Elephas maximus indicus: one gene and its partners. The protein of the gene in region 1 purifies or fractionates together with the protein of each later gene. This does not show direct contact. Links are inferred from orthologs where the notes say so. Each region holds a gene or a part of one and is shown in the gene's direction. Other genes may lie near its edges.

Region 1 (8,173 bases):
ATTGTTGATATCCAAATACAAACTTGACTTGGCTCATTTAAGTGTTTTCAGTGCAAATGCTAATTTTGCATTCAATCTCTAAACTTCTTAACGAAGAAAATGAAAAGATTTCATCTACTAAATGTCCTGCGAAGAGTCCCTGGGTGGTGCAAACACTTAAGTGCTCAACTGCTAGCCAAAACTCTGGTGCTTCAAACCCACCAGAGGCACCCTGGGAGACAGGCCTAGCAATCTGCTTCTGAAAGATTACAGCCATGAAAACCCTATGGGGCGGCTCTACTCTGTACACATGGTGTCGCCATGAGTCAGCACCAAGTCCATGGCAACTAGAAACAACGAACGTCCTGCACACCTTGTAAACAACACTGCTAAACGAGGAGTGTGGTTTGCTTACATGTGACATGGCAGCTTTCATAATGAAAGTTTTGGTCACTTTAGTTTCTTCAAAATGTGGAAAAGCACTTAATCACATTTTTCACTTCATAGAAATGGAATGAGATTGTCTTAGTTATCTACTGCTGCTATAACAGGAATACCACAAGTGGATGGTTTTAACAAAGAGAAGTTTATTCTCTCACAGTTTAGGAGGCTAGAAGTCTGAATTCAGGGTGCCAGCTCCCAGGGAGGGCTTTGTCTGTCAGTTCTGGGGGAAGGTCCTTGTTATCAATCTTCCCCTGGTGTAGGAGCTTCTCAGTGCAGGAACCCTGGATCCAAAGGACGTGCTCTACTCCCGGTACTTCTTTCTTGGTGGTTTGAGGCCGCTCTCCTCTCTGCTCGTTTCTCCCTTATATATCTCAAAAGAGATTGACTCAAGATGCAACCCAATCCCTTAGATTGAGTCCTGCCTCATTAACATAACTGCCTGTAATTCTGCCTCATTAACATCATAGAGGTTAAGAGTTACAACGCATAAGATAATCACATCAGATCACAAAATGGTGGACAACCACACAATACTAGAAATCATGGTCTAGCCAAGTCGACACACATTTTTGTGGGAGACAATTCAATCCATGACAGAGATAATCTCCTTAGACATGTGCCTACAATATGACTATCATCATTGCTGGCCGTAGAAAAGACGTTAAAATATTTGTTTGCCATAAAATCACATTTTCAAAGTGTGCAACAAGAAGAATATCCTGCTCCAATTTGGAAATACATTGAGAATGAGAAAGGGGACAAGGATTACAGTAAAACAGAAACATACATACTGTTTTCTAAAACTGTTTGATAATCCTTGAAGAGGCCATAACGAGCCTAGAAAAAGGATGAACGGACTGCACCTGAGTTGTTCAATGTTCTGTGTAGATTGCAATAAAAACTCACATAGAAAAAAAAAAAAAGACTAAATTTTTTTGTAAGTAAGATTGCTTCATAATTTTTAAACTGACTAATTTGGACTCCAAGTTTGATTTCACAATTCAAATCACCTCTATGCTTTAAAATGATTTTGCCTGGGGAAAAGAGAGTTAACTTATGATGACATTCAACGTATTTCAGAGTGTTTAAAAATGATGGGCATTTTAGACATGGAGAACCTACATGATTATAGATGCAAAGGACCCGATTGACAGACAAAAGCTAGTTTACCAAAGCAAGCTTGTAGATACAAAGTGGATGGACATTTTGGAAAGCTGGAAATGAATTCCTACAAGTTAAAAGAACTGCTGTGTTATTAAGTAAAATCCTAAGTATTTTATGCTCAAACACGTTTGTTGAGAGAATATTTAATGTCATTGCATTGTACTGACACCAGGAATCAGTGCAATGTAGGCATTATAAGAGCAGAGCTGCAAGTCGAAATTAATTTTATGTCTGACTGTATTCAGTTTTACCACTACACAAAAGAAAAGAAAGATACCCTAAAGGCTCCAGGGAGTTCAGAGATGCATTAATAGAAAAGGCAACTAAAAGAGTAAAAATATCCTACTGTATCTTGGGACAGAAAGAAACATGTCATTGTTACTTTTTAATATAGGTAGTATCTGTTTAATTAGTCCCATTGTATTTACATTCTCTTTTTAAAAAGTCTCACATTTATGTATCTTAAGAACACACAATAATATAGCCTATAAAATTTAAATATGTAATGGAATTAAAAAAAGAGTTAAAATAAATTTCTGTATTAGAGGACAGAAACATCATAAAAATATTGTTATATGTTTTTCACACATATTTCTTTTGTTTAAATAATAGCATTTATGTAACAGAAAAGAAATAAAACTATATAATTTCAAGTAAACATCTATTTTTCATGTTTTTAAATAAAAATAATAATGCATGTGTATGATTGTTTATTATATATTATTTATTTCCACACCAGACTGGCAAAAATTAAAAAAAAAAATCAGGCATTTCTAAATGTTAGCAAAAATATGTAGAAAAGACAGTATTATAAACTGTGGGAGTATAAATTGGTACAACTACTTTGTGAAATAATCCAGCAATACCTAGTGTATTAGTTTTCTACTGCTGTGTGACAAATTACCACAGGCTTAGTGGCTTAAAACACATTTATTAGCTCACAATATCTGGGTGTCAGAAGTCCAGGCACAGCTTAGGCGTTTCCTCTGCTCAGGGTCTTACAAGGCTGCAATCAGGTATCAGCCAGGCTGTGTTCTCATCTGGAGGTGTGACTGAGGGAGAATCTGCTTCCAAGTTCTCTGATTGTTGGCAGAATTCTTTTCCTTCTGGTTGTGTGAGTCAGAATCGACTCCACGACACTGGGTTTGTGGTCGATGACTGAGGGCCCTGGCTTTTTATGGCTGTTGGTTGACCTGGAGGCTTCCCCAGAGTCCTGGGGGTCACTTACGGTTTCCTGCCAGGAGACCTTTTTCAGTTCACAACATGGCAGCTTGCTTCTTCAAGGCCACCAGGCCAGTCTCTAGCTCAGTTAGTAAGACAGAGTCTCCCATAGTGAAACACAGTCATAGAATAACATCCCATCACCCTTGCCATATTCTATCCGGTAGAAGTCAAAGTTCCCGCCCCCCAATCAAGGGGAGGGGATTATATAAGGCAACACCAGGAAGCAGAGATAGTTGGAACCATCTTAGAATTCTTCGCAGCACATCTAGTGAAAATAGTCAACCTCCTAGGATCTAGCAGTTTCCCTGTATAAGAATGTTCATAGCAGCATTGTTTATCATAGCAAAAATACTGTTTTATAATTTTTTAATTTCTCAAAATACAAAAAGATGTACTAAGAGAGTCATTAGTTTGTAAAACACCATGTATGATAACGTTTTTTGTAAAAGTAACATGGATGTAGGAATTCTGCTTCCAGCAATGGCATACTGTTGCTGTATTAGACCAACTCTCAGAGAACAACTAGACAAAATATACAAAAGATTAAGGCACTGAAGAGCTACCAAGGCAGTGAAAACCTGTGAGTTCAAGATCTGGAAAAAAGGGGAAGCTCAGCTTTCCACTTGAGATGACAGATTCTGAAAGCAGTGGCTGAAAAACTGAGCAGAGCTTTTGGCTGTCCCTTGGGGCTGGGGAGGCATGGCCAAGGAGAACCAAAACCAAACCTCTTGCTCTCAAGCCAAGGAGAAGAGGCCCTAGTAACTATACCCCACACTTGGCTGGGACCCTCAAGGGCTGTACCCTAGCTAGGAATAAGGATGAACTGGAAATCAACTAGCTTCCATAAAGATGGTAGTCCAGCTCAGAATAATCCTAGTTTCCAATTGGAATAGGTGATCTGCCCTTAGCTTAGCTGTGGTCAGGCATCCTTGCTCCCAAGTCTCTCCCATAAACACCTTCCACTTCCTCAGCACCCCTGCTCAAACTTCCAGTCTGATCCGTCTAAGTGCATCACAGTGGGTAAGCTGATAGGGAAGACAGAAATCCAGGACATACAAACATTGCCTAACCTAGGATTCAGGTGGTATGGTCCTCCCGTCTTTCCCTCACTTATAAATGTAAATAACCTACCCCATCTCTTTTTCCTGGCTTCTCCGCCTATCTTTTAAATTGATTTGATAAAACATGTCGTCTGTGAGACTTCCTATTCCATGACCTCTGCTTGGTTGGCTTCCATCTTTCTTCTTTTGAAGCCACTGCTTTACTTGCTCCCTCAAAAGAAGAATTCCATTATATATTTTTTCCCTTAAATTTAACCATAATATTTATGTGCCCTAAATGTTCGTTTGAGAGCACTTATTGAGAGCAAAACAATTATTTGGGTTTCATATAATTTCTTACTCATATATTATCGGGCAATGGGGATAGGAAAGAATTAGAAGTGGAATACACAGGGACTTCCTGCAACCATGCAGCACGCGAACGCCTTAGACCTGAGGCCACTCACTTTTAACACTTTTTAAATGCCCCCTGGGGCTTCAATACATCATTCATCCAATAAACACGTATTAGGTACTTGCCATGTCAGAAGCTAAATATGGAGAGGTGAATGAGGCTTCATCCGCCCTGAAAAAGTTTAGTGAAGACAGATTTGTAAACATAACTTTGCCATACAAAGTAAGAAGTACCGTCTCTGTCACGCCTCCACGAATCTACAACCCGCGCTGTGGACAGCGAACCCCCTCCCCTACCCCAGGCTCCTTACAGACTGGAGACGGCGAGCGGCGCTCAGTGCCACACTGGTGGAAGACTACGTCTCCCAGCAGCCTCTGCGGCAGGGCGGCGGAGCGGAGCGCGCAGGCGCGGGGACCGGCCCCCGCACGCAGGCGCAGTGCGAACGCCGGCTGAGCTGGTCTCGCTGCTCGGTGCGCGGCGGCGGAGAGCGAGGCCTGGTGAGCACCGCCGCGGCGCCGGCCGGCTCTCCGAGGTTGTGCGCAGAGGAGCTACAGCGGACGGGCGGGCGAGCGGCTCACCTCAGCAGTGGCACCGGGATCGGTTGCCCTCAGCCTGGTGAGTGCTGGGGCCTCGCGGCCGCGGCCCCTCCCCCTCCCTCGGTGCGACCCGCGGGAGGCCCCGGCGTGAGGGCGTGCGCCGGCCGGGCTCGAGCTCGGCTCCCGGGCCCGGGCGTTGGCGGCGCGTCCGTGCGTCACGGGCCCGGCTGTCCTCACTAACGGCCGCGCGGCCGGCGCAGGCCAGGGTGGGGGTGGGGAGCGCGGGCGCGATCGCCGTCAGGAACGCCGGTCGAGGCGGGGCTGGAAGCGGCGCCGGGGACCGCGGGGCGCCGAGGCGGCGGGGCGGGGTGAGGCCGGCCGGGGGCGGCGGCGGGCAGCGCGGAGCGCGGGGACCCGGGCCGGGGAGGGCAGGGCGGCGAGGACGAACCGTCGCCAGGGCAGGAAGGGGCCGTCGTGGGGACCGACGAGTTGGGGCCCAGCCCGGAGCGGCGGCCGGGCGGCCTGGGAGGAGGCAGGAACGACTGCAGTTTACAGATGTCATAACAACCGGGGCCCGAAGCGGCCGACGGGGCTGTGGTAATTATAGGAATGACAGAAGTTCGCGTGTGCGTGGCGTGTGCGACTCGAGGGAAACAGCCAGGTGTCAGGTTCAGCTCAAAACGTGAGGAAACTCAACGGTGACTTAGGGAAATCGTCGCGAAGGAACGTTTTAGGGTCGAACGGAAGGAAGTACTTAACGAGCCCCTTTTCAATGACAGATTGCAAAACAATTGACTTTTAAGATTTAAATTTAGAATCAACGACTGTGAATTTTTTTCTGTAAAGGCTGCTAAATGATGTTTTTCAGTCTTTTTCTTAAATAAACGGTGTCTTCAAAGCCCCCATTTCTTAGCAGGGGATGGGTAGGTGGTCCCGCCGTCGGGCGCCCCCCACCCCCCATGCTTCAAAGCTTATTTTTGGCATTGTTGTTTCCTTAATTTGTTCTTCCTTCTGTAATATTCTGAAAGTAATTCTCACATTACTTTCCCCCGATTTTAAAGACTGAAGAAATGACATTTTCTCAAAGCAAAGTGAGAAGGAACTCTATTTTATTTTTACTGAAATAATTTAGTCTTGGAAGGCCCTGTTTTATGTGCGATTCATGTTTTTGACGTGCAGGACATGAGAGAAAGTAGAGGAATGACTATTAATTGAGCGCCTTTGAAGGCGTAGTGTTAAGTATGTTACATGTATTAAAACATTTAATGTTGTCAGTAACTCTGAAGTAAATTTTTAAAAAGTAAATATTAATTTGTCCTGTTATATAGACAAAAACATCGAAGGTCGGGGAAGTTAAGTAACTTACCTAAGGTCATTCAGGCCTTGTTGGAACCAGCCTTAGAGCCCTAAATCACTTCCATTTTAAGATTTCTTCTCTAATACTCACGGGTTTTGTTTTATTTCATTTATTCAGCTAATATTTATGGAGTGATCATGTGCCTGAGATATAGTCGTCATCAAGACACTGTCCCTGTCCTCATGGAATTTATACAAGACACTGTCCCTGTCCTCATGGAATTTATAATGTAGCAGGAAAGACTAACAATATAAAATACTGACTGCAGGGCATTTTATTAGTCGTTGTAATTGAGCAGAAACTGTAAAGCACTTTACTAAATAGCAAAGGAAGTTCAAATGCAGGCAGACAGTATAATCCTTGAGGAGTTTACAGTCTAATAGGAAATCAAAACATAGAAACCTAGAATGAACCAAATGACAAAAATAAACCTATTCCATGAAATCAGTATACTTACATAATGTTACTTTAGCTTCTCAAATAAATTTTTTCATAGAACTATGATATAATATCATGTACCTTGACTTTTATCTAGGATCGACGTAGAAGAAAGGACATGAAAATAATCTTAACTTCGTTGCTCCTGGAGACACTATTTCTTATTTATTCATCGATCTTCATAAAATAGAGACCTTAGAGACAGATTCTTACGAGCTCAGTACCAGGCTTTTTTCTCGGTCATTTTTATTTTTAGTTTTTTAAACAACTGCTTTTTATTAGATCATGATTGTTTTAATGCCGTTCTGTTTCTCTTTACACTTTGGCTGTCAGGAGGCTCAGAACTGAGTTGTGTTGAATTTTTGTAATTTTCCTTAGCCTCAACTGTGTTATGTATATTTTTTGCGAGGTAGCCTGGAATTATGCTCAGTTGTTTCCTGGCCTGTTTTCTTTGTGTTCTCTTATGCCTTCACTATTTTCTTATTTTACCTTTCCTCTTCCGTTTGAGGGCAGGAATTACATCTTATTCTTTTTATCTCCAGTGTTTTCAGCATATTGCTGGTTGAATTGTTGTTGTTAGGTGCCATCGAGTCGGCTCTGCCTCCTAGTGACCCCGCCCGGTCTTTCACCAGCTTTAGAGTCATTGCTGTGTTTGAGCCTGTTGTTGCGGCCACTGAGTCAGTCCGTCCGTCTTGTTGAGGGTCTTCTTCTTTTCACTGACACTTTACTTTACCGAGCATGATGTCCTTCTCCCGGGACTGGTTCTTCCTGATAATATGTCCAAAGTAGGAGAGATGAAGTCTGGCCATTCTTGCTTCTGAGGAGCTTTCTGGCTGTACTTCTTCCAAGAAATATTTTATTCTTTTTATCTCCAGTGTTTTAGCATGTTGTTTGTTGAATTAATGATTAAATAAAGTCTTGATGATTTTCTGACGTCTTGCCTTTAAATCTGTCAAATTATTTTTGGAAGTATGTGTGAATACTGTGTATAAAATCAACTTTTGATTGACCATGCAAGTAAAGATGACCTAAAGATAATCTCGTTACTGTCTTTGTTTTGTTTTAAGATCTCGGTGTACTTTGCAGGATATTATGAATTCAGCCATAATGGAAGAAAATATCAGAAATGGTGAACACTTCAGTTAGGTGATTTCAGCTGATTTCACTCTTGTTACAGTAAGCAGGAGATAGATGGCCCCAGGCCAGCTGGGGACCAAATAGGGCCTGTGTTAGAAAATTTTCAAGTCAAACATTGAAAGAGCAGAGATGAAGACTGGTGGAAAGTACAGGTGTTGTGTTTTTTTTTTTTTTTTTTTTTTTTTATTGCTAAGATATTGCAATGCTACAGAACAGACCTAAATGAAAATACAGTTCTGACTTAGTGTTGTTGACTAATTGGAACAGTTCTTGAGAGCAAGCAGTAATCCAGAATGTGGATAATGGGGGTAATCTCCCACACATAACAAGAGTAATGCTGCCTTCCTATGCAATCAGTCTGCTTACTCATCATGATTGGTTTTCTAGCATGAGGAGGGATATGTGCTGAGTTGTCCATGAGTCTCTGTACTCTGACCAG
Region 2 (8,382 bases), on another chromosome or scaffold:
AAATTCAAAGGCGTCCAGGGGAAGGCTTTCTCTCTCTGTCGGCTCTGGAGGAAGCTCTTTGTCCTCAATCTTCCCCTGGTCGAGGAGCTTCTCAGACACAGAGATCCTGGGTCCCAACGACTGCTCTGTTCCTGGTGCTGCTTTCTTGGTGGTATGAGGTCTCCAACTCTTTACTTGCTTCCCTTTCATCTATTGAGAGATAATAGGTGGGGCAGGCCACACCCCGGGGTAACTCCCTTTACCTTGGATCAGGGAGGTGACCTGAATGAGGGTCCTGTTACAATCCCACCCTATTCCTCTTTAACACACAATTACATTCACAAAATGGAGGATAACCACAGAATTCTGGGAATCATGGCCTAGCTAAGTTGATACACACATTTTTGGAGGGATGTAATTCAATCTATGATACCTCCCCTAGACATTCAGTAAATTAATTAATTAATTCTATCCTAATAAGCAGAGGCCTGGTGGCACAGTGATTAAGAAATAGACTGTTACAGTAGTCAAAACAGCCTGGTACTGGTACAACTAAAGATACATAAACCAATGGAATGGATTTGAGAATCCAGACATAAATTCATCTACCTATGACCAGCTGATGTTTGACAAAGGCCCAAAGGCCATTAAATGGGGAAAAGACAGTCTCTTTAACAAATGGTGCTAGCATAACTGGATATCCATCTGCAAAAAAAATGAATCAAGACCCATACCTCACACCATGCACAAAAACAAACTCAAAAGACCTAAATATAAAATCTAAAATGATAAAAATCATGGAAGAAAAAATAGGAACACCAGGGGCCCTAATACACGGCATAAATAAATAGTATACGAAACATTACTAACAATGTACAAATACCAGAAGAGAAACTAGAGAACTGGGAGCTCCTAAAAATGAAACACTCATGCTCATCCAAAGACCAAAAGAGTAAAAACACAACCTACAGACTGGGAAAAAAATTTTGGCTTTGACAAATCTAATCAGTGATCTCTGAAATCTACAAGATACAGCAAAACCTCAACAACAAAAAGACAAATAACCCAATTAAAAAATGGACAAAGGAATATGAACAGGCACTTCACCAAATAAGACATTCAGGCTGCTAACAGGTACATGAGGAAATGCTCATGATCATTAACCATTAAAAATGCAAATCAAAACTACAATGAGATACCATCTCATCTCAACAAGGCTGGCATTAATGCAAAAGCACAAAATAAATGTTGGAGAGGCTGTGGAAAGATTCGAGCTCTTATACACTGCTGGTGGGAATGTAAAATGGTACAACCACTTTGTAAATCGATTTGGCGCTTCCTTAAAAAGCTAGAAATAGAACTACTATACAATCCTGCAATCCCACTCCTTGGAATATATCCTAGAGAAATAAGAGCCTTCACACGAATAGATACGTGCACACCCATACTCACTGCAGCACTGTTTACAATAGCAAAAAGACGGAGACAACCAGGGTGCTCATCAACGGATGAATGGATAAACAAATTACAGTATATTTACACAATGGAATACCATGCAATGATAAAGAACAACGATGAATCCGTGAAACATCTCATAACATGGAGGAATCTGGAAGGCATTAGGCTGAGTGAAATTAGTCACAAAAAAACAAATATTGTATGAGACCACTATTATGAAGAACTCAAGAAAAGGTTTAAACACAGAAGAAAACATTCTTTGATGGTTACAAGGGTAGGAAGGGAGGGAGAGGGGTATTCACTAATTAGATAGTAGACAAAAATTATTTTAGGTGAAGAGAATGACAACACACTATACAGGGGAAGTCAGCATAACCAGACTAAACTAAAAGCTAAGTTTCCTGAATACAACCAAACACATCAAGGGACAGAGTAACAGGGGCAGGGCCTGGGGACCATAGTTTCAGGAGACATCTAGGTCAACTGGTATAACAAAGTGTATTAAGAAAACATTCTGCATCTTACTTTGGTGAGTGGCGTCTGGGGCCTTAAAAGCTAGCAAACGGCCATCTAAGATGCATCAACTGGTCTCAACCCACCTGGAGCAAAGGAGAACGAACACTAAAGACACAAGGAAAATACGAGCCCATGAGACAGAAATGGCCACATAAACCAGACTCCATCAGCCTGAGACTGGAAGAACTAGATGGTACCTGGCTACCACCAATGACACAACAGAGAATCCCTGATGGAGGAGAAAAGGGGGATGCAGACCTCAAATTCTAGTAAAACGGCCGGACTTAATAGTCTGAGACTGGGTGGATCCCAGAGGTCATGGCCCCTGGACTCTCTGTTAGCCCAAAACTAAAACCATTCTTGAAGCCAACTCTACAGACAAAGATTAAACGGGACTATAAGACATACAATGATACTGGTTAGGAGTGTGCTTCTTAGCTCAAGTAGACACATCAGACTATGTGGGCAGCTTCCGTTTGGAGGCAAGATGAGAAGACAGATGGGGACAGGAGCTGGTTGAATGGACACGGGGAACACAGGATGGAGAGGAGTGTGCTGTCACATTACAGGGAGCGCAACTAGGGTCACATAACAATGCGTGTGTAAGTTTTTGTATGACAAACTGACTTGAATTGTAAACTTTTCACTTAAAGCACAGTTAATAAAAAAAAAAAGACATGCTCCTAACCAAAAGGTCAACAGTTCGAATCCACCAGCTGGTCCTTGGAAACCCTATGGGGCAGTTCTACTCTGTCCTATGGAGTCACTAGGAGTCAGAAGCAACTAAACAACAATAGGTTAGTTTTTTTTTTTTTTATCCTAGTAAGCACACCAACAATCTCCTATTGAAAAAAGCGCAGAATACTGTGCATAGTTATGTTACCATTTCTGTGAAGAGGGGGTACTGTATTTGTGTACATATGTAAATATTGAATTCTAGCTAGAAAACAGGTCTCATCGGTTGCTTCTGGTTAGAAAAACAGGTTAACTGAAACAGGGATGAAAGGGACACTTCACATTGTATAACTTTTTGGTACAATTTTGAACCATGTGAATGTATTACCTATTCAAAATTAAATAAAACTAAGGAGAAACATTACCCATTTAAACATCCACAAATACTACCCAGCTATTTGAGCACAGATTTTTCCTTGCTGCTCCCCACCGCCTTGCCAAAGAATTCATAAAAGGAAAAACAGTAAGATTCTCCTAGTCTTCTAAATAGAAAGGACTTTGCAATCCTTCCACCCCTCTAAAATTTCAGCAATTAACAAAGGAAAAAAGAATAGCAAAACTAGAAGCAAAATCTCAAGCGAGTGATCAAAATTTGTCCGTTTTTATGGAGTTTCTTTTAAAATGGCAGAAAAGTGGGCAATACTGTTATTTTCATATAACAGCTAGATTTTGATTAATCCAGTGTGCATGTAAATCATATTTTTTGTTAATCTTATCTAACCATTTTCCTTTTGCTTATCCTGATGCCAGCATTTTTAGGTCAAAGCCCCAGATCACTTATTGAAAGGAAAATTTCTTTCAATTTCCTAATTTATCATTAAAAAAAAATTTTTTTTTAATGTATGGTTCATTACAATTTAGAATACCACACACACACAAAAAAAACCATATCCATTGCCGTTGAGTGGATTCCGACTCATAGTGATCTTAAAGGACAGGGAACTGCTCCATAGGGTTTCCAAGGAGCACCGACCTTTTGGTTAGCAGCTGTAGCTTTTAACCGCTACACGCCAAAGTTTCCATAATTCATTAAAAAAAAAAAAAAAACCACTGCCATTGAGTCTATTCCAACTCATAACAACCCTATAGGACAGAGTAGAATTGCCCCATAGTTTCCAAGGAGCGCCTAGTGGATTTGAACTTCTGATCTTTTTGGTTAGCACCAGTAGCTCTTAACTATACCACTTACAACAAGTACATACCTAAAATTGGAAACTTAAGGATAAGCCGGTCGGCAGTGATAGTACATTTTTTAACTATGGAAATTTTGAAGTGCAGAAAAATGGCTCTAAGAGGGAAAGGTTACAGACGGTAGAAATTAACAGGTTACGTTTCCACATCACCGCCCAGCTATCGGTCCAGTTGGAGGTAACAGGGTTTGCTAATTTAACGGAATAATACGCAGATTGAAGGTACTCGGTGCACAATTGTTAGTGACCAAAAAAGACAGCGAGAGTTAGCAGGTATTGCTGGGGTTGAACGAGTGACCTAAGAAACTGGGGTAACCAAACAGAACTCGAGACGGCTAGGACTAGCTGCAAACGGGCTCCACAAAGCAAGTCTGAACTGGACTGGTCGTTTAACTTTATTCTTTCAGGTAACATGCGCCCCCGAGTTCCTAAATCCTTAGAACGTCTCGGACTGCTGGGCTTGTCTACTTGAAAACTGTACGAGAACCTGCTTTCTGATATAACGAAAAGAAACTGAGGGCGAGCTATGGTTTCTGTCCGGCCCGCTCAAGTACAGGAGTCTTCAGGAAGGAGACCCACAGGCCGCGCAGCTACCGGCGGCTCAAAGTCAACCACCGGGCGAGGGAGCCTCCGGCGAACTGCAACTATCGGCCCTCCTCCGGCGGGCGGCCCGGCTCCCCCTCCCCGACCCCGCGCCCGCCCCCCGACCCCGCGCCCGCCCCCCGACCCCGCGCCCGCCCCCCGACCCCGCGCCCGCCCCCCGACCCCGCGCCCGCCCCCCGACCCCGCGCCCGCCCCCCGACCCCGCGCCCGCCCCCCGACCCCGCGCCCGCCCCCCGGCTCTCCCCGCGCCCGCCCCCGGCCCCTCCCCCGACCCCGCGCCACCTCCCTCCCGGCTCTCCCACCACCCTAGCCCAGGCTTCCGGGGGAAGGGGTCGGGCAGAGCGTGCGCGGCGTCACAAAGCGAAGCTGGGGCGCTTGGGTTGCCGCCAAGGTCCAGGGCTCCCCGGGCGAAGTCCACTCGCGGCCCGCCCCGCGCAGCGGAAGGCCCAGGGCCGCCTCGCTCCGCCCTCAACCCCGTCCCCTCACGTAGGCCGATCCGGCCGCAGCCTCGCGACGGCTCGGGCGCCGCAAAGCATGCTGGGAGAGCCGGCGCGCGCCGGAAGGACGCGCGGGCTCTGGGCGGCGAGGTTATAAAGGGGAAGGAGCCGGCGGCGGGCGGAAGTGGGCGGTTCGGCGGCCAGCGCTGGTGTTTGGGCCTTGCGAGGGGCGTTCTCTGAGGGCCCCGCTGCGGCTGCGGTGACAGGGCCGTTCGCGTCCGCGCCCCCGCCTCTGTCCCGGTGCAGCGTCTGCTCGCGGCCTTCGCGACCCGCAGGCCCAACATGGCGCAGGAGGTGTCGGAGTACCTGAGCCAGAACCCGCGGGTGGCTCTCTGGGTGGAGACGCTGCGCTGCGACGGCGAGACTGACAAACACTGGCGCCACCGCCGGGAGTTTCTGCTCCGCAACGCCGGGGACCTGGCCCCCACCGGCGGCGTCGCTTCCAGCCACACGGATGAAGCTGCCGACGCCGAGAGCGGGAGCCGCAGTCGGCAGCTGCAGCAGCTCGTCTCCTTCTCCATGGCCTGGGCAAACCACGTCTTCCTCGGGTGCCGGTGAGTGAGGAAGCGGCTCCCCCATTTTGCCCTCTCTCCCCGAGCCCTCAGCGAAAACCCGCTGGCTGTGGGGCGGGGAAGTGTCTGTGAAGGCGGGAGTTCGCGGGACCGGCTGCCCTCGAAGGCTGAGAAGGGCGTCTCCGCGAGCAGCAGGCTTGTGATAGACACTGGGGAGGGACCCCGTGGTGTGGGGCTGCCGAAGTTGTTGGCGCTGAGCTGACAGAGCTGTTGTCGACGGACAGTAGATCACAGGTTGGTGAGGATAGACCCTGCCTCCCAGACCCTGGGTCATTTGTTGACGGAGTGTCCAGGAAACGGTTCCTGGCAGTACATTATCTCGATTACAACCAGGAAGTCCAGTTCCTTTGGCCTGTTTTGCACACCAGAAGTATTAAATTAGAAGGGAAAAAGTTTTTTTTTTTTAAAGTGAACTTTTCCCCTCTTTTTCAGGTACCCTCAAAAAGTTATGGATAAAATACTTAGTATGGCTGAAGGCATCAAAGTGACAGATGCTCCAATCCATACAACACGAGATGAACTGGTTGCCAAGGTGAAGAAAAGAGGGATATCGAGTAGCAATGGTTAGCAGATCATAGATGTGAACATACATAGGAGTTTAGAGCATAAGTTTGATATAATTTGGCTTTATGTTATTACTAATTTTTTAACAAGTTAGAATTTATCTAATGCTATTAATCAAGTTGGAATGTTAAATCTAAAATATATATCTCTATGTTTTTAGGCTCTGAATTTGATAGTTTTGTTTGACTGCCTTAGATTTTGAAATGTCAAATAATTGTGTCTGTTGCTGTTAATTTTTAATGCTAGAAATTAATGGTGCTATTCAACACTTTTAGAAATTAATGAAGTTATTTCATGCTTCTTAAACTAATAGTCTTGAAATATTTTTACCTTCTGACCTTATTTTAATAAGTATCTGTTATATAAATTTTCAGTGGATATGTATTAGGCAGACTTAGTCACATATCTCTGTTTTCCTTCCTTTTAGAAGGGGTAGAAGAACCATCCAAAAAACGAGGCATAGAAGGAAAAAACAATTCTGCAGTTGAGCAAGATCATGCAAAAACTTCTGCCAAAACAGAATATGCATCAGCTAAGCAGGAAAACAGTTCAACATGTACGGGGTCGTCCACCAAATCGGAGAATAGTGGGAACTCAAGTCTTAGCTCTGGCATATCCTTGAGTGAGACTATCTCTACAAGTGATGGGGATAGACCCAGTTCCAGCCAAAGCAGCAGCAGCATTTCCTCTCAGGTAACAACGGCAGGGTCTGGAAAAGTTTCTGAATCAGAAGCTTCAGATAAACATGGTTCAGCACTGTTTGTTTCCTCTTTGTTGAAATCAAGTGTGAATAGTCATGTGACCCAATCCACTGATTCCAGGCAACAAAGTGGTTCACCTAAAAAGAGTGCTTTGGAAGGCTCTTCAGTCTCAGCTTCTCAAAGCAGCTCAGAGATTCAGGTGCCCTTGTTGGGCTCCTCCGGAAGCTCAGAAGTAGAATTGCCACTCTTGTCTTCTAAACCTAGTTCAGAGACAGCTTCAAGTGGGTTAGCTTCTAAAACTAGTTCAGAGGCAAGTGTTTCATCATCAATTTCTAAAAACAGTTCTTCATCAGGCACATCCTTGCTAACTCCCAAGAGTAGCTCCTCAACAAATACATCACTGCTGACTTCCAAAAGCACTTCCCAGGTAGCTGCATCACTTTTAGCTTCCAAGAGCAGCCCCCAGACCAGTGGATCTCTGGTTTCCAAAAGCACTTCCTTAGCAAGTGTGTCCCAGCTAGCTTCTAAGAGTAGTTCTCAGACTAGCACATCACAGTTGCCTTCTAAAAGTACTTCACAGTCAAGTGAGAGTTCTGTCAGAGTCTCTTGTTGCAAGTTAACAAATGAAGATGTGAAACAGAAGCAACCTTTTTTTAATAGACTGTATAAAACGGTAGCATGGAAGTTGGTAGCTGTTGGTGGCTTTAGTCCCAATGTGAATCATGGAGAGCTCCTAAATGCAGCTGTTGAGGCTCTCAAAGCAACACTGGATGTGTTTTTTGTCCCACTAAAAGAACTGGCAGATCTGCCTCAAAATAAGAGCTCTCAAGAAAGTATTGTTTGTGAATTAAGGTGCAAGTCTGTGTATTTGGGCACTGGCTGTGGAAAAAGCAAAGAAAATGCAAAAGCTGTTGCATCAAGAGAAGCACTGAAGTTATTTCTCAAGAAAAAGGTGGTGGTAAAAATATGTAAAAGGAAATACAGAGGCGGTGAAATAGAAGATTTAGTGCTTCTTGATGAAGAATCAAGGCCTGTAAACTTACCGCCAGCGTTAAAGCATCCTCAAGAATTACCGTAATGTGTTCAAAAGATCACTGCATAAAATACCTAGTATTTGGAGAGAAAAACTGGCTTACTTTTGTACAATATAAAACAGGCTTTCACAAATTTTGTATTCCTTTTTTCCAGTTTTGCAGAAAATTTACATTCTAGTTCTCTTCACAAAGTAGAAATTGTAAATAATTTACAAATGACAGTACACATTAAAAGGTATGCATTAACAGCATACCAGTATGCTGTTTTATTTGCTGAAGAAAATACTGTCTTCTATTTTTAATGATGCATTAGGTACGATGTGTAGTTCTGTAGTCTTAAAACTTTTGTACTACTTTGAATTTGGTGAAAATGTATTAAGTTGTCTACCATGCTTTATTTTTTTTAGCTTGAATAAATCTCCACATGAAAGAAAAGGGGACCACAGTATTTGAATGTCTGAAAGTCTGTGAAACTTAAGGTTTTTAGAATGTTGCCCATAATGCTGAACGTCTGTTAAAGAATAAAAAAAAAA
Region 3 (7,383 bases), on another chromosome or scaffold:
TTGGACACATCGTCAAGAAAGACCAGTTGCTAGAAAAAGACATCATGCTTGGTAAAGTAGAAAAAAGGGAAAACAAGGGAAAACCTTCATGAGATGGATTGACATAATAGCTGTAGCAAGGGGCTCAAACATACCAACAATTATGAGACTGGCACAGGACCAGGGAATATTTCATTCTGTTATATATAAGGTTGCCACGAGTCAGAGCCCACTTGATGACAACAAGATTTGGCTGATTGCTGTCTTGAGTAGTTTCCCTTGTCCTGCTGTTGGTCATATTTCCTATAAACTGGTAGTTAACAGTAGGGGTTTGGTTAGAGAAAGGTTTAATTTTGGGGGTGGGGTGGGGAGGTAAGAAAACTTATTAGTTGGCGCTGTGTACTTCCTGATGCGTTACAGCAGGGACACACAGTATCTGGTAGTTACACTTTTCATGATGTTAGGATGATTGGTGGAGCCGGATTTTCTCAGTGTGATATATTCATTATGAATTTTGCAGTCAAGCTTTCACTAAATGGTTTTAGCATCTGTCTCAGTTATCCAGCGCCACTATAACAAAAATACCACAAGTGGATGGCTTTAACAAACAGATGCCAATTCCCTCACAGTTTAGGAGGCTAGAAGTCCAAATTCAGGACGCAAGCCCCAAAGGAAATCTTTATCTCTTTGTTGGCTTTGGGGGGAAGGTCTTGTCATCAATCTTCCACTGGTCTAAGAGAGTCTCAGCACAGGGACTGGGGTCCAAAGGACATGTTCTGCTCCCTGTGGTTCTTTCTTGGTGGTATGAGGCCTTCATCTCTTTGTTTGCTCCCCTCTCCTTTTATATTTTGTAAGATAAAAGGTGATGGAGACCATACCCTGGGGAAACTCCCCTTAGATCAGGGCTGTGACCTGAGTAAGGGTGTAACATCACTCCCTAATCCTCTGTAACATAACCTGTGTTGTTGTTGTTGTTAGGTGCCATTAGGCTGGTTCCGACTCATAGCAACCCAATGCACAACAGAACGAAACACTGCTCAGTCCTGCACCATTCTTAGAATCGTTATGTTTAAGCCCATTGTTGTAGCCACTGTGTCAATCCACCTTATTGAGGGTCTTCCTCTTTTCCGCTGACCCTGTACTCTGCCAAGCATGATGTCCTTCTCCAGGGACTGATCCCTCCTGACACCATGTCCAAAGTATGTAAGATGCAGTCTCGCAATCCTTGCCTCTAAGGAGCATTCTGGGCGCACTTCTTCCAGGACAGATTTGGTCATTCTTTTGGCAGTCCATGGTATATTCAATATTCTTCGCCAACACCACAATTCAAAGGCATCAATTCTTCTTCAGTCTTCCTTATTCATTGTCCAGCTTTCACATGCATATGATGCGATTGAGAGTACCACGGCTTGGGTCAGGTGCACCTTAGTCTTCAAGGTGACATCTTCGGTTTCCAGTGCTTTAAAGAGGTCCTTTGCAGCAGATTTGCCAATGCAATGTGTCCTTTGATTTCTTGACTGCTGCTCCGTGCGTGTTGATTGTGGATCTAAGTAAAATGAGATCCTTGACAACTTCAATCTTTTCTCCTATCATGATATGGCTTATTGGCCAAGTTGTGAGGATTTTTGTTTTCTTTATGTTGAGGTGCAATCCATACTGAAGGCTTTGGTCTTTGATCTTCATTAATAAGTGCCTCAAGTTCTCTTCACTTTCAACAAGCAAGGTTGTGTCATCTGCATAAGGCAGGTTGTTAATGAGTCTTTCTCCAATCCTGATGCCCCATTCTTCTTCATATAGTCCAGCTTCTGGGATTATTTGCTCCGCATATAGATTGAATAGGTATGGTGAAAGGATACATAGCCTAATCTTACCTAATTAACCCATGCAGAAGTTAGGATTTACAACACACAGGAAAATTACATCAAATCACAAAATGGAGGACAACTACACAATACTGGGAATCATGGTCTAGGCAAATTGACACATATTTTGGGGGGACACGATTCCATCCAGGACAGCATCCATTAATAACTGTAGCCTTGATCCACAATGTCATGGATTGAATTATGTCCCTCCCCAAATGCGTGTATTAACTTGCTTAGGCCGTGATTTCCAGTATTCTATGATTGTCCTCCATTTTGTGATTGTATTTTATGCTAAAGAGGATTAGGGTGGGATTGTATCACCCTTATCAGGTCACATCCTTGATTCAACCTAAAAGGAGTTTCCCTGGGCTGTGGCCTGTACCACTGTTTATCTCTCAAAAGATGAAAGGAAAGGGAAGCTAGCAGAGAAAGAGGACCTCATATCACCAAGAAAGCAGCACCTGGAGCAAAGCCCATTCTTTGAACCTGAGGTTCCTGCGCTGGGATGCTCCCAGACCAAGGGAAGACTGATGACAAGGACCTTCTTCCAGAGCCGACAGAGAGAGAAAGGCTTCCCCTTGGGCCCTGAATTTGGACTTCTAGCTTACTGAACTGTGAGAGAATAAGCTTCTCTTTGTTAAAACTATCCACTTGTGCTATTTCTGTTACAGAAACACTAGATGCCCAAGACACATGCCAAAGCAAAAAAAACTAAACCAGTTGCTGACGAGTTGATTCTGAATTATGGCGACCCTTTGTGTTGTAAAGTAGAACTGTGCTCCGTAGAGTTTTCAAGGCTTTTAGAAATATGGCCAGGCCTTTCTTCCTAACTGTTGTTTGGGTGTGTTCGAACCACCAGTCTTTCGGTTAGTAGTTGAGCACTTAGCCACGTTGCCACCTAGGAACTCCTGCTTGATGCATGAGGGTTGCAAAATGGTGTTATTCTAACTCTGCATGTATTGATCAGTTAGAATTATCCTCTAAAAAGAACTTTCCCACATCAACTACTTGGTTGTCTGAAACATAGTTTTTGCAGTAAAGATTAAGAAAAATGCTTAACGTTTGCCTTTATAATTTTCAGAGTAGAGGTGGTGGTCTAACAACCAGCAAAGGCAACTAAAGAGAGGTTTTTAATTTTTTTTGTTCATTTATTTTCATCATTGTCACAGACTTATGCTTTTTTTTTTTTTTTTTTAATGTATTTGATGTATTTCAACCATCTATAGACAGTATTCTTCTTGGTGTTCTAATTGTCCCAACTTTGGCTAGTAGGAATCTCTTGGAGTTCGCTTCTGGGTCCTTATGACATGCCCTAAATAGTCTTTGAGAGCTTCATTGCTTTCTGATACACAAGATGTCCCAGGTTCATCGTTCCTCTAAAATTTAGTGTTCCTCATTAGTTTATTTTTGCTGTAAACAGTAATTATCTTTTAAAAAGATAAAAAGTGAGAAAAGCTATCTTTTATATTTACCACCATATTTTATAAAGTTGTTTTTCTGGTTAACATCATTTGCTAGAAGGAAGACTGATTTTTGCCAGTGCATCTACTAGCCTGACTTGGCCAGATGTGAATGTCTAAAATTCTAAATTATTGTTAAGAACCAGAGATGCCCCCCTGAGGTGATTCTGGTCTCAGTCAATCAACAATTTGCAAAAGAGATACGGGACATTCCCAGAGGCTAGAACCCCAGACTACCGAGGTGGGAAGATTTTCAGTTGGTCAATGGATCAATGAAAGAGCCAGTTAGCAAATACACATTTGTTCAACTTCTCTCTCAGTACCTACTGTCATTTCTCCCATAATTATTTGTGCCCTACGTTTTTTAATTTGGTTACATTAACTAATTATAATAATAACAGTAACGTGGCTGCCTGTGCCCTTACGTACATTTCAGTCCTCTTCCTTTTTATCCCTCACGACAACCCTGTAAAGTAGATATTATCATCCCCATTTTATAGAGGAGGAAACTGAGGCTCAGAGAGTGATCTGCTGAAGGTCACAGGTAGCAAGCAAATGGTTGACCTGGGACTGGATTTAACTCTGGCTGACTGTGGAGCCCCTGCTCAGAAACGAGTAGAAAAAAAGATTGGTTTAAGATTTTTGCTTTTGGGAACTCCGCAACGTCTAGAAGAGTCTGGGCATACTGCAGGTGGTCAATAAATATTGTTAAAAGCATAAAGGGGGGGCAGCCCCATGCTGCGCTCTTCATGTCACCATTTATATATTTTGTTTAAATAGAGCCTTGCCAGCTCTTTTTTCCCCAAGGGGCTTCATGGTAGGAATGCCTGAACGCTCCTGCGCTGCCCGGTAGCTCCGCCAGGTGTCGCTCCGCTAGGTGTCGCCCTCGCCCACTCCCCCCCCCGCGCCCTGTCCCCCTCGCCCCGCCCACCTCCGAGTTTCTTCCAATGGCGGCCCTGGTCCCGCCTTCTACCCTGGCCTCTTCCCTACATCCGGCCTGGCCGGCTCGATCTGAGGGTTGCGGGAAGCATGGAGATGCACGGTCAACCCGACCCCAGGCCGAACTGTTCTTTGTCCACCCCGGGCTGCTCGGGGGTGTCGGTGTCCAAGGAGCTGCTGACGGCCGGGAGCGGCGGCCTCGGAGGTGACGGGCGGTGGCGGTGGCGGAGTGGGGCGCGCACGTGCGGCGGGGCGGGGGGTGGCGGCCGGAGCAGCCCGGGGCCGGCGGCTGCCTGCTCAGGCCCGTAACCCTGAGGGGAGCCCCGTGGGTGCTTCAGGGCTGGGTCAGTCCCGCCATCGCGGAGGTGGGGGGCACCCAGCACCGGGCCGGGTCCCAGAGCCGTGCGGGCCCTAGAGCTCCTCGAGCCGGTGGTTCTTATATTTGCCACGCGCCCTCCCCGGCCCCCGAAGCTGGGGCGCACCCGAATTTCTCGAAGGAGAGGGCCTTAGGGTCGCCTGTGTGGGATGAAGGAGTTGGCTGATGGGGGACCGGCCAATGGATATTATGGATAATAACCCACCTCCCCACGCCCCCAATATACCACAGAACTACTTGGTGCTGCTCTCTCGTAGACGGTGCCAGGAAATCTACACAGCATTTCAAACAATACAGAATTAAAAATCATGGGTTCGAATCCCAGCTCCATGAGTAATTAGCTGTGGAACCTTAAGAGGGTTATTTACATTCATTAAGCCTCACTCTTAACATTTTGAACATGGAGGTAGTAGTGACACAGTGGTTAAGCTGTTGAGCAGATAATGGAAAGGTCGGCGGTTTGAACCCACCTTTGGCTCCATGGGAGAAAAGACCCTGTGGGGCAATTGTGTTGTTAGGTGCACTCGAGTCGGTTCTGACTCAGAGCGACCCTATCCTGAGCCATGCTCAGATCATTGCTCAAGTGTCAATCCATCTAGTTAAAGGTCTTCCTTTCTTTCACTCACCCTCTGCTTTACCAAGTGTCTTAGTTATCCAGTGCTGCTGTAACAGAAACATGACAAGTGGATGGCTTTAACAAACAGAAGCCAAAGCTTATGTAGTGTTTACTGTACTCCAGGAATTATCTAATTTAATCCTCACAACAATCCCATGAAGTAGGCTCTGTTATCTACATTTTATAGGGGAGGAAATGGAGGCATGGTTTATCATACAGATAAGTAACTTGCTGGAGATCATTCCGCAGGAAAGTAGTCATACTGGGATTTGAATCCAAGCAGCCTGGCTCCAGAATCCATGTTCTTAATACTAATCCAATTGCTAGGCTTTCAGTAGCAATATCAATAAATGTTTGAAAGCTTTGCTTTGAGGATGAACAGGATTTTGGTATCAGAGAGTGAACAGATTTTCCAGGTATTAGAAATAGGGTGTGCAAATCCTTGAGTTTTGAAAGACAAATCTTGTTCTAGGATTGCTGATGGGCTGGAGAGTTGGGTTGATTTGAGGAGTAGTGAGAGATGAAGCTGAAAGGTGGAGGTGGAAGTAGACACAAAATTTCTCCAAAGGGCTATTTTGTCGAAGCTGGACATCTTCAGGGGAACTAACCATGCAGGCATGTCTTACAAATGAAAAAACTACGTAATGCCCAGAAAGGTTCGGTGACTTGCCCAATATTACACAGCAATGCTTTCTGGCTTCACTGAACAGTTATTGTATTCTTTACTGCTTTCTCCATTCTGTCATTACAGGCCCACATCTGTCTACTGATGAACTTCTGATCCAGAAAGATAGTTTAGTGTGCATTTATGTCACTTAGCCTTGGGGTATAGATGTGTGTGACAGGCTTAAGAAAGGGGTAATAGATAAATATAAAGAACTAAACGATGAGAAACAAGTTGCAATGGAGCTTGGAGCACCTCTTTTTAAAAAAATATCTCAGGGGATGTGGAGCAGTCAAGACTTGAGACTGGTCATGGGAGGTTTGCTGATAGGCCCTTATTTTTTATGACATAGTAAATCATGTGCATGTGTGTTTTTCCAGGAATATGGGACAGGTTGCTTATCAACTCCAAGCCTAATTCCAGAAAGAACTCTAATCTTCAAACAGTTCGGATAGAGAGGAGTCCCTGTAAGTACTCCTCTGTTTTCTTTCTTAAGTCTTCTCTGATGTTTGCTCAGTTTTGCCTAATTAAGCTGTTACTTGATGGGACACTTTCTGTCTTCATAATCAGATATCAAGCCATAGAGAGTCCCTTGAAGCAACTCTTACTTGGAATTTCTGTTGCCTGAAGAGGGAAACTTTCTCCTGAAAAAGATGCTTGTAGGATGAATTTTTGGAAGTAGAAAATAATTATTATTACTCTCCATAGGAGATATTTTTAGAGGTTAAACACACAAAAACCAAACCTGTTGCCATCAAGTTGATTCAGGCTCATAGCGACCCTAAAGGACACAGTAGAACTGTCCCACAGTGCCTGGTGGATTCGAATTACCGACCTTTTGGTTAGTTGCCATAGCTCTTAACCACTCTGCCACCAGGCTCATAAAGATTACAGCCTGGAAAATTCTGTAGCGCATTTCTCTGTCACACACGCGAGGTCACTATGAGTTGAAATCCACTCGCCATCACCTAACAACTACGGGATAGCTCTCTTCATTAATTACTCCTTAGTATGTTGCTCTACTGCACAGTCACGAGTGTACACGCTCAGACAGTATTTACATGACCGTTCATGTAATACTCAGTGTCTGTATAATTCAATCTTAGTGTTAACAAGAGAGAATAAAGACAAGAATTCAGTGAAAACAGTGTAAATGATGCATGAGGTTATTGCTTCTGTAAACTAAGAAAGCACCAGTACTCCGAGAGAACTTAGCATTTCTGATGAGAAGCGTGCCGTCTTTTTTATCTTTGTTATCCTGTATGTAGTTTCTTTTTTCCCTCTGGGCTGCTTTTCGAAATTTTTTCTTTATCACTGGTTTTCACACATTTGATGATATCCTTGCAGATAGTTTTCTTTGTAGTTGTGGAGCTTGGGATTTGTTGAACCAGATCTGTGAGTTTATAAAAAATAGTTTTCATCAAATCGGGAAAAATTTTGCCCATTCTTTCTCAAAATACTTTTCCTGTTCCTCTTCTCTGTCT
Region 4 (8,481 bases), on another chromosome or scaffold:
CTGTCAATTCTTTTGTGCCAATATTTTGGAACACTTTCTCCTCTTTCAACTTTAAAAGTAAAATTTAAAAACTGAAAATAATGGGAGGTTCTGCTTCAAATGGTTCACTTTACCATATTTTAATAATTTCAGATAGTATGATAGAAAATTCTCTTAAAAATTCATTTTCAAAATGATTTAGCAAATATTTCCTGACAAATGCATCATAATCATCAGTTATGAGAACTTTTCTATATACAAATTGGCAGTGAAAGTTTTAGGCTCTACAAATACCAACAAACATTTTCAATGGTCAAGATATGTAGGCAAGTGTTTTTATCCACATGTTCACATATAATTTTAATTTCTTACAGATTATACCGCAAAGAAGTTCTACAGATATTAATAGAGAACTGTGTTTCTAAGGGCTATGTCTTCCAAATGGAGATGATTGTGCGGGCGAGACAGTTGAATTACACTATTGGCGAGGTATGGGATGAAAATCCTTCATAAGGAAACAGTGAGCTTTAGACTTTTTATATTAAATTGTTTTAACCTTCATACTACCAAATTAACATGGAAGACTTCCCGTTGTTTAGACTGTCCATGTACTCAAAAATGAAAATTCAAATCCCTTTTAAATATGCTTGACCGACCAAGGTTTAACACGTTAATGGAAAGGAGCACTCACATATAAATAATTAAATGTTGCTGGTACCTTGTCCATCCCGGCCTTTTCTTTTGACCATTAGCACTGGAGGGATGAGTCTCTTCATGGCATTTCCTCTTGCCATAGCTAGCAACCACCCTACTTTAGAGTGAGTGGTGAATCCTATGTGCCAATTTCCATGAGTAGATGAAAATTACTAGGGAATACCAAGCGAGGCAGAGAGATATCTTAATATTTAGGGTGAGCCAGTGAGCTCCTTGGGAAGACGGCCCTCATTTTAACACTGATACCCTTAATCAGAGACTCCTTGCTGTCCAGTCAATTCCGACTCATAGTGACGGTGGCGTAGTGGTTAAGTGCTATGGCTGCTAACGAAGGGGTCGGCAGTTCGAATCCGCCAGGCGCTGTTTGGAAACTCTATGGGGCAGTTCTACTCCGTCCTATAGGGTCGCTATGAGTCGGAATCGACTCGAGGGCACTGGGTACTGGTTTTGTTTTTTTACCCTTAATCAAAGGAAGAAAATGGCTAACTTGAAATGCCACTTGTCTTGTGGCAGTTAACAAGCCTTTCACATAATGCTAAAACATAGTGATAGTTAAATTTGACACATAACTAAAAAAATTCAGTGAAAGGCCATTTTACTTGTGGAGTATAGTTTTTCTTTGAATTGCAGCAAGACTGACTTTAATGTATGTATTTTTTTAACCAGGTTCCAATATCATTTGTGGATCGTGTTTATGGTGAATCCAAGTTGGGAGGAAATGAAATACTCTCTTTCTTGAAAGGATTATTGACTCTCTTTGCTACTACATAAAAGAATTCATGTATATTTATCATGTTCATTTCAATTAAAGCATTAAAGAAGCCTGGTTGATGATTTTTATAAAATGTACTCTCTTAGAGCGTAAATCCTAAGGTAAGGTGAATTTCATGTAAATCTTTTTTTCTGAAGAAATTCCACCACTTAATATTTCAAATTGAATTATCAAAATGAGCAGTTTTCTCAATTTTCATTTTACTGTTACGACCTATAAATAGATGTATATGGTTTTCTTTTGCATAAAATATTGCTACTTTCATTAGAGTATGTGAACGCAGAATATCTTATATGGGGAAGAGTTTAAAATATTCTTTATAAGAACTGAATTATAGCTCTTTGTACCTAACATACATCAGAAGAGAAATGTTAATTATATTCATGAAATGTAAATGGCCGTTTCTGTATGAACTGGAAAAAAAAAATACACACTTTTGCCCTTTGCTCAAAAATGTATCTCATATTTCTTAAACCAGCTAAAACAATACATTTAGAATAAAATTTTAGGGTTTTGGTTCTTTGCAGTTATTGAACTGATGAAATATTTCTTCTACTAAAGCAGGTCTAAGTATGTATTGTGAATTGGAAACGGCATGGTGGCAGTTGATTGCACGGCTGGGTTCCCCCCCCCCCCCCCCCCCGCTTCTAAGCAATAACCTCTATAAGTAAGGAAAAATATTGAAAGCACTGAGGCACAAAATATCTTACTGAATTACTTTTATAAAGATTTTTCTCTCAAAATATTTGTTTTTATATTATTTCAAGACCCTCACCAAAGCACTTATCTTTTCTACTATGCAAAAAAAAAAATCCCTTCCCTATAGCTCTTCTCTCCATTCAGAAGGTTGTTCTGCCAGTTAAAACACAGGTTGTTTAATAAAGCCCAGTGCACATGTTCTCTTCACTTACCTTCTCTAAAGGTAGGTATTTCAAAAAAGGTCAGTTTCTAATGGTACCACAGATTTTGGAACCTGCTGTAGGTTTTAAAGTTTGGATGGATAAGACACACCTTGAGCAAATAAGGTTAAGATCAGGTTGATTCAACTTTGCAAGTAAAAGGAAGAGATGTCTCTAAGTTTTCTAATAATCCTATCGAGTGAACAGTATTCTTAATTACTGCATTTTCCAGGTTTAATTTGGCTGCCCAAGAAATTTAAAAGTCTGAGTTGTCATTTGCATTTCTCTCAAAACAGATCCTACCAGAAATGAATGCCAGACTATGAATTCTTTGGTGTCATTTTTAACATTAAAATCCCCTCCCTCCCCATAGTTGATTGCATAGTACACATTCCAGTAAGGGCCACTATTTCCCTTTTGCCCAGAGCTATTCAGCTGACCCACCGGGGGACCCACCTTTCTTTCAGAAATGATTCCTCTCATGGGAATCTCCTTAAAAAACCAAAAACCCAGTGCCCTCCACTAGGAAATTCATCAGTGTTTGATGTAAACTCTTTAGTCTTAAGCTAACAATAGAAATGTAAATATTCTCAATGATTTTCAGTGTTACTCTGTTCCAAATCTATTCTTTCTAACCTAAATGCAAAGTTAAGTTTTCAGTATCCAGTGTGTGGAAGAGATTAAGTTAACTACCTCAGAAAACCCACAGTATAGTATTGCCTTTCATACCTCACTAGAGTAGGTAACTTTTGTCTTTTTAACCTTTTCAGTTCTTACTCCCACAATTATTACAGTGTCATCACCATTGGGATTTATTGTAAAGAAAGTTTTTGAGCAGTCATTTAGAAAAGAATCTGGACTATTTAGATGCAAGTTTGTAGTAAATCTGATGACTTACATACTGGGAAAATGTCTAAAACACATCTGAATCCAGCATCCCTTTTTGCTTTATAAATGAGGTCAAGGATGAAACCCTGATGTTTTCTATTTGTATGGTCACAGTATGAAATCTAAGCATATCTAAGAAAAACTAAAGATAAAATTTGTATTAACTTTTGCCTGTCTTCTGCTATGTGTAATCCATTCTTCATCTTTGTTCCTCTTAATGAAATGCTTTGCCACCACCCCCCCTTTTTCTTAATGTTTTTCAGCCATTGTTTTCAAGTACTTACTTGGTTTGCATAGATAGGTTTTATCAAAATTTCAGAAATTAATGGAATACTGTAGTAAATAAAAGACTTCGTTAAACTAGCTAACCATAGTCTTAGACAAAGGTCTAACTACAGTTTTATATTATCAATTCAGATTCTTTTGAGATGTTAAGTATGGTTTGAGAAATAGCAAGACAAGTGTAACAGCACATACTAAGAAGCTGTTATTCCTTCCCCGTTGGTATTTACTTTTCAATATGCGTAACCAAAGATACGCTCTCAGATGTACTCGACTATAAAAGGTGGCATCAAAAATGTTGATAGTGTATTGGTTGGGGTTGGCCTAAATTTCCATAGGCAAAACTGCGCGGTATCATGCTATCCAGATGGAGAGCACAAAGTCATTGTGCCCAGGAGCACAAACTGTAGTTTTCAAGGATCTTGTGGAGGCCCATGCCAACGGCTTCACTAGTCCAGCGGCCTCAGACACTGGAGATTCCATTTGTTTTCTTCAGGCCAAAAAGAGACCATCACTGTGACTTGGAAAGAATGGCAAGTCCCAGGACAACAGCCAACCTTCTGTAAAAATAAGCCCCCATCTACGAAAAACCCCACCCCAGCAGGAAGGGGTCGGGCCATCCATGGGGTTGTGGTTCATCTCAAGTCGTGTGCAACAGGCCCTCACACCTCATTTAAGGCAGGAGGCGTCAGGCACCGCCAGCCAGGTGCCCTGCTGCTTCCCGCCGCTGCCCGTCCTGTAGGCGTGGGGCCTCCGAGCACGTGGAGCCGCCCCGGGGCTGCCCCGCACACCCCCCTCCCACTAGATGTAGTCCAGGCTCTGCTGGGCCCGCGCAGGGATTCCCAACACGGCCACCTGACTGAGTGCTGGGAGTGCTGCGGCCCGCTGCTTCTGCCTCCGCCGCCGGCGCTGCGGCCAGAGGAAGGCGCCCGCCGTGCACAGGGGCCCTGGAAGCGCACTGCGGCCATTATCCACGGCGCCTCCTAGTGGGTCAATGGCAGATTCTCTTGGTTCTCGCGATAGCTCCCTCTCAGTGGGATTATATAATCCCCCTCAGGCAGGGTCGGGGAGTGCTAGTGGCACCCTCCCTCAGAAAAAGTTAGGAGCAAGAATTGGTGGGAGTAAGGGAGCGATCCCCGGAGCTTCGGGGTAAAAGGGTACTATTCCCCACTGCCCCCCCCCCACTTGGCTGGACAATGAGTCCTCTTATTCTAATGAGGCACTTACGTCACTTCCGCTCTTTCTCGGCCGCCATTTTGGCTAGGGCAGGTTCGGGGACTCGCTCCGAGGCGCTTGTATTGTCTGCTGAGGGGAGACGCGGGATCAGCCCCCTCCCCCGCCCGTTGCCGCCGCCGCCTCCACCGGCCCGGTCTCCCCTCCGCCGCCCGCCGGGATCCATGAGCTGAACTCCCACCCCCCGGTCGCCGCCATCTTGTGCCCCTCCCCCTCCCGCAGGCAGCGCTAAGGGGGATTTTGGCGTCTCCTCAGGCACAGCTCCCTCTCTCGGTCCCCGCTGCTGAGGAGCGAGAGGAGCGCGGCCGCCGCCAGCCTGCCCGCGCCGGTGAAGCCGCCTCTCCCCACACCCTCCGTCTCCTCCCTCCGCCCCTCCTTTGTCTGCACCGCTCGACGACGCTGCCGCCGCCGCCCGCGCGGGGACTGGAGGGAGCCGCTCGCGCCGCCGCCGCCGCCGCCGCCCGCCGCTCTGCTGCGCCCACCGCGCCCCCCGGCAGCAGCCGCGGCCGCGGCGCGAGCCGGAGCCCGCCGAGCCGGAGCGCAGCGAGGCCCTGGGCGCGCCCTCGCCGCCGCCACAGCCGTGCCGCCGCCATCCGCCCGCCGCCGCCGCCCGGCCCCCGAGCACGCCGGCCCCGCGCGCGCCTCGAGGCAGAGCCAAGGTAAGCCCCGCGCGGCCCTGCGCGCCCGGCCCGGCCCGGCCCGTCGCCCCTCGGGCCGCCCCGCCGAGCGCGGCCCTGCGGCGCGGGGCGCAGTATTGTTTGGATCCCCAGCCCTCCAACCACACACGGGCTCCTTTGCATACTCCCCGACTGATGGCCCGCCCGGCCCGCGCCGACCGCTATCCGGGCGCTGCTCCGGGGTCCAGGCGCCTCCTCCTGCAGCCCGACCCCCTTCTCCGCCCCGTGAGCCCGCCGAGGCCAGCAGCCGGCCTGGTCCCCCGAGCTTTTGCAGCTAATCCTGTGTTCGTCCACCCCGCCCCCAGCAAGAAGCGATCTTCTCCCATCTCTGGAACTAATTCCTCCCTCACCAACCGAGCCCCCCACGCACACCCCCAGTGCCCGGAACGAACCTTCTGCCAGGTCTGCCCACCCTGAGCTGGGGGAGGGGGCATTGGGTTGGGGGCGGGTAGCATGCATGGCACGGAGTAAAAAAGTCTTTGCCTATCCTGTGCAATTCTCTGTCCCCACCATTCCAGCTCCCGTCCTATCCTAACCAGAGTGCACCAGCACCCCTTTTTTCCAGTTCCAGATGCCTGGTCACCACGATCTCTTACAAGCATGCTAAGCCCCAACTTTAAATAAGTTAATGAAAAATAGAATGCCCTAAAGCAGCGAAAAGATGTTTATAATGCAATGAATGGGGAGTAGTTGCTTGAGCACTCTTTTCACCTCTTCTCTCCTCTGGGCTGCCTGCCTCCCTTCCCCTCCCCCTCAACCTGGATGTCTGTCTGCTGGAAAAGGCGCGATTGCTCCTCTTCCTCTTCTGCCCAAGACCAAGCTCTAAGGTCTTAGATCCCTTTTGGCCACACACCTACCCACACTAAGTTTTCTTGATGTTCTTGCGTTCACCAATTCCTCTGGATAGTTCTTCCCATAACCCCATTTCTCAGACAAAGGCTTAGGAGGGAAAAAAGAACCAAACTGCTTCCTGTGTTTGCCATTTTAATGCTGTCCATCCCCACACACCCAGTCCCCATCTGTGATGCTTCTCGAGCCTGTGTCTTGAACCTTCAAGATGAGAAGAAAAAAAAATCTCTTGGGTAGCTTGATACAGTTTCTTTATAAATCTGCATTGTTGCTTCTGGTTTATGGCCATGAAGAAAATACCAGCCCCCACCCAAAATGCACCGCAGCCAAGTCGGCTAAAGGCGATGAGTGTTGGAGTCAGTAGGGGGCGCATTCTCTGCACTGGGTAAGGCTGCAGAGGGGGGAAGGGCCCCACAGTTAGAACAGGATGTGCTTCACAGCGCCTTCTACAGACCATGGGAAAATGGGCCCAGCAAGACACACACACACACTCTTAGTTGGTGAGCTGACAGCAACATGGCGAAGGAGTGAGTCAAGAGCAGTGATTTTATTTCTTTTAAAGAATCCACCCTGCATTTTAGAAGTTTTCTCATTTTATTTGTTCAAAACTGTTGACCCTCAGACAGTCCATGTTTGTTCTTGACAAGTCGCCTTGGCACATCCTTGGTATACAGATTTCACCTTCTGTGGAATTCTTCCACCTTTAACTTTGAACGTGTCACCATTTCTTTTCCAAGGTCATGTAGAAAAGGAGAAGGTTTAAAACCTGAGAGTAAGGAGTTTGTGGCATTGTGAATTATCCTGCTTCTTCTTAGTCCAAATCTTTCCAACTCTTTGAGAGTTAAAATCATTCTTGAGGGATGTTAGACTTCAGTGGAGCAGTGATTTTCATGATGGGTGTCATGATCTGCAAAGCCTTGTTGGTTAGCATAAAGCCCATGTTGAGGTCTTCATTGTCAAACTCAACAGAGTTGAGTGTAAAATTTCGGTTCTTTCCAACTTTGAACTCTTTGTCATCATTATCTCCGTAGCCAACCACCGTTGGAAAAGAATTGACACCAGTCTTCTCTGTGAGCACCCACCTTCTTGGGGTGTGTTGATTTCTGTAGATTTTACTTCTGTTGTTATTTCCATAGGTGTGAGATGAACAGTGCAAAACCTAGGCCCCAGCTTTTGTACCATGATGCACACAGGGTTGTATTTGTTGTAGTGAACTGATAGGTGGCCTAGTGGTTATGCCCTGTACTACCATTTTAAGGATCTGGACTCCATTGCCTGCTTTGCTCTTTGGACCACATTGTCAGTTCACACCGGTGGGTATACTCATTTTGGAGGGTGGGAAGGAACTGCAGCAACAGGGAAGCTAGAGACTTCTCCCTTCTTGGTCACCACCAAAGCCAGTGCTTTCTCGATTTCAGCCTAGCCACATTACTCAAGGAACCTGGTTAGGGGTGGTTGCAGTAGTGGGCTTATAGAATAGAGAAATGACTTACGGCTTTTTTAAGAGAAACATTTTAAGTTGACAATTTTAATTAATTACATTCTGCACTCTTGTGTATATGTGTGTTAAGTACTCACTGTTATTTGATGGCCTAGTCTCAAGCGTTGGTAGACTTCAAAGAACTTTCAAAGATTTCCCTGCCCAGAGCAGGCCTTTCCATGAACTTGTTTTGGCTACCAAAGATTGACGGTTGTTGATACTAAGGAGTACTTTCAAGACTTGGTTACATGTCTCTAACGTAGATCCACAGAAATAAATTTATGGAAAATGGATTGGATTTACTCTTTGATACATAGGTAACCGGTTGGTGCTTAAGAGAGAATTCTTTTAGGACATTTGCTACCAAGTAACAGTGAGTGAAAAAGAGGTAGCCTGATTTGGGTATTTCATAAAATCACATGGTATTATTTGTAATTTTTAAAATACTGCTTAGTATTTTTAAAAAAGATTTGATTCTGACCTGATTTGGTCTCTGATAATACAGTTACACAAGTTTTAAAAATGAGTAATTTGAAGACAATGTACCTGAGGATATGTTCAAGTTTGACGTTTGTAGAGGTACTTTGTTTGATTTAATGAATTATAAATAAGATATAATATTAACCGATGTTCTTAGTGGGAATAGCCATCTCCCTCCCCCCCCCCCCCGCCCCGACATAGGAGAGCATTGTCAACTCTTAGAAAGCA

Evidence for each region.
Region 2: the proteins of KPNA1 (region 1) and CDKN2AIP purify together in Homo sapiens (co-immunoprecipitation; 4 studies listed by BioGRID and IntAct, with this or other methods). This does not show direct contact. The link is inferred for Elephas maximus indicus from reciprocal best matches to the Homo sapiens genes KPNA1 and CDKN2AIP.
Region 3: the proteins of KPNA1 (region 1) and NOPCHAP1 purify together in Homo sapiens (co-immunoprecipitation; 3 studies listed by BioGRID and IntAct, with this or other methods). This does not show direct contact. The link is inferred for Elephas maximus indicus from reciprocal best matches to the Homo sapiens genes KPNA1 and NOPCHAP1.
Region 4: the proteins of KPNA1 (region 1) and ADNP purify together in Homo sapiens (co-immunoprecipitation; 3 studies listed by BioGRID and IntAct, with this or other methods). This does not show direct contact. The link is inferred for Elephas maximus indicus from reciprocal best matches to the Homo sapiens genes KPNA1 and ADNP.

The regions. Positions count from the first base shown.
Region 1 is NC_064819.1:13,087,520-13,095,692, reverse strand, and holds the start of KPNA1 (importin subunit alpha-5), read left to right. Parts: upstream 1-4,703; 5' UTR 4,704-4,881; intron 4,882-8,173. UniProt on the Homo sapiens protein: Functions in nuclear protein import as an adapter protein for nuclear receptor KPNB1. Binds specifically and directly to substrates containing either a simple or bipartite NLS motif.
Region 2 is NC_064839.1:81,729,466-81,737,847, forward strand, and holds the start of CDKN2AIP (CDKN2A-interacting protein), read left to right. Parts: upstream 1-5,024; 5' UTR 5,025-5,260; coding exon 5,261-5,532; intron 5,533-5,982; coding exon 5,983-6,113; intron 6,114-6,541; coding exon 6,542-7,893; 3' UTR 7,894-8,382. UniProt on the Homo sapiens protein: Regulates DNA damage response in a dose-dependent manner through a number of signaling pathways involved in cell proliferation, apoptosis and senescence.
Region 3 is NC_064822.1:171,793,409-171,800,791, forward strand, and holds the start of NOPCHAP1 (NOP protein chaperone 1), read left to right. Parts: upstream 1-4,291; 5' UTR 4,292-4,333; coding exon 4,334-4,448; intron 4,449-6,279; coding exon 6,280-6,366; intron 6,367-7,383. UniProt on the Homo sapiens protein: Client-loading PAQosome/R2TP complex cofactor that selects NOP58 to promote box C/D small nucleolar ribonucleoprotein (snoRNP) assembly. Acts as a bridge between NOP58 and the R2TP complex via RUVBL1:RUVBL2.
Region 4 is NC_064843.1:18,763,189-18,771,669, forward strand, and holds the start of ADNP (activity-dependent neuroprotector homeobox protein), read left to right. Parts: upstream 1-5,321; 5' UTR 5,322-5,426; intron 5,427-8,481. Other genes in the region: DPM1 (dolichol-phosphate mannosyltransferase subunit 1), read left to right, coding at 354-468, 1,360-1,464.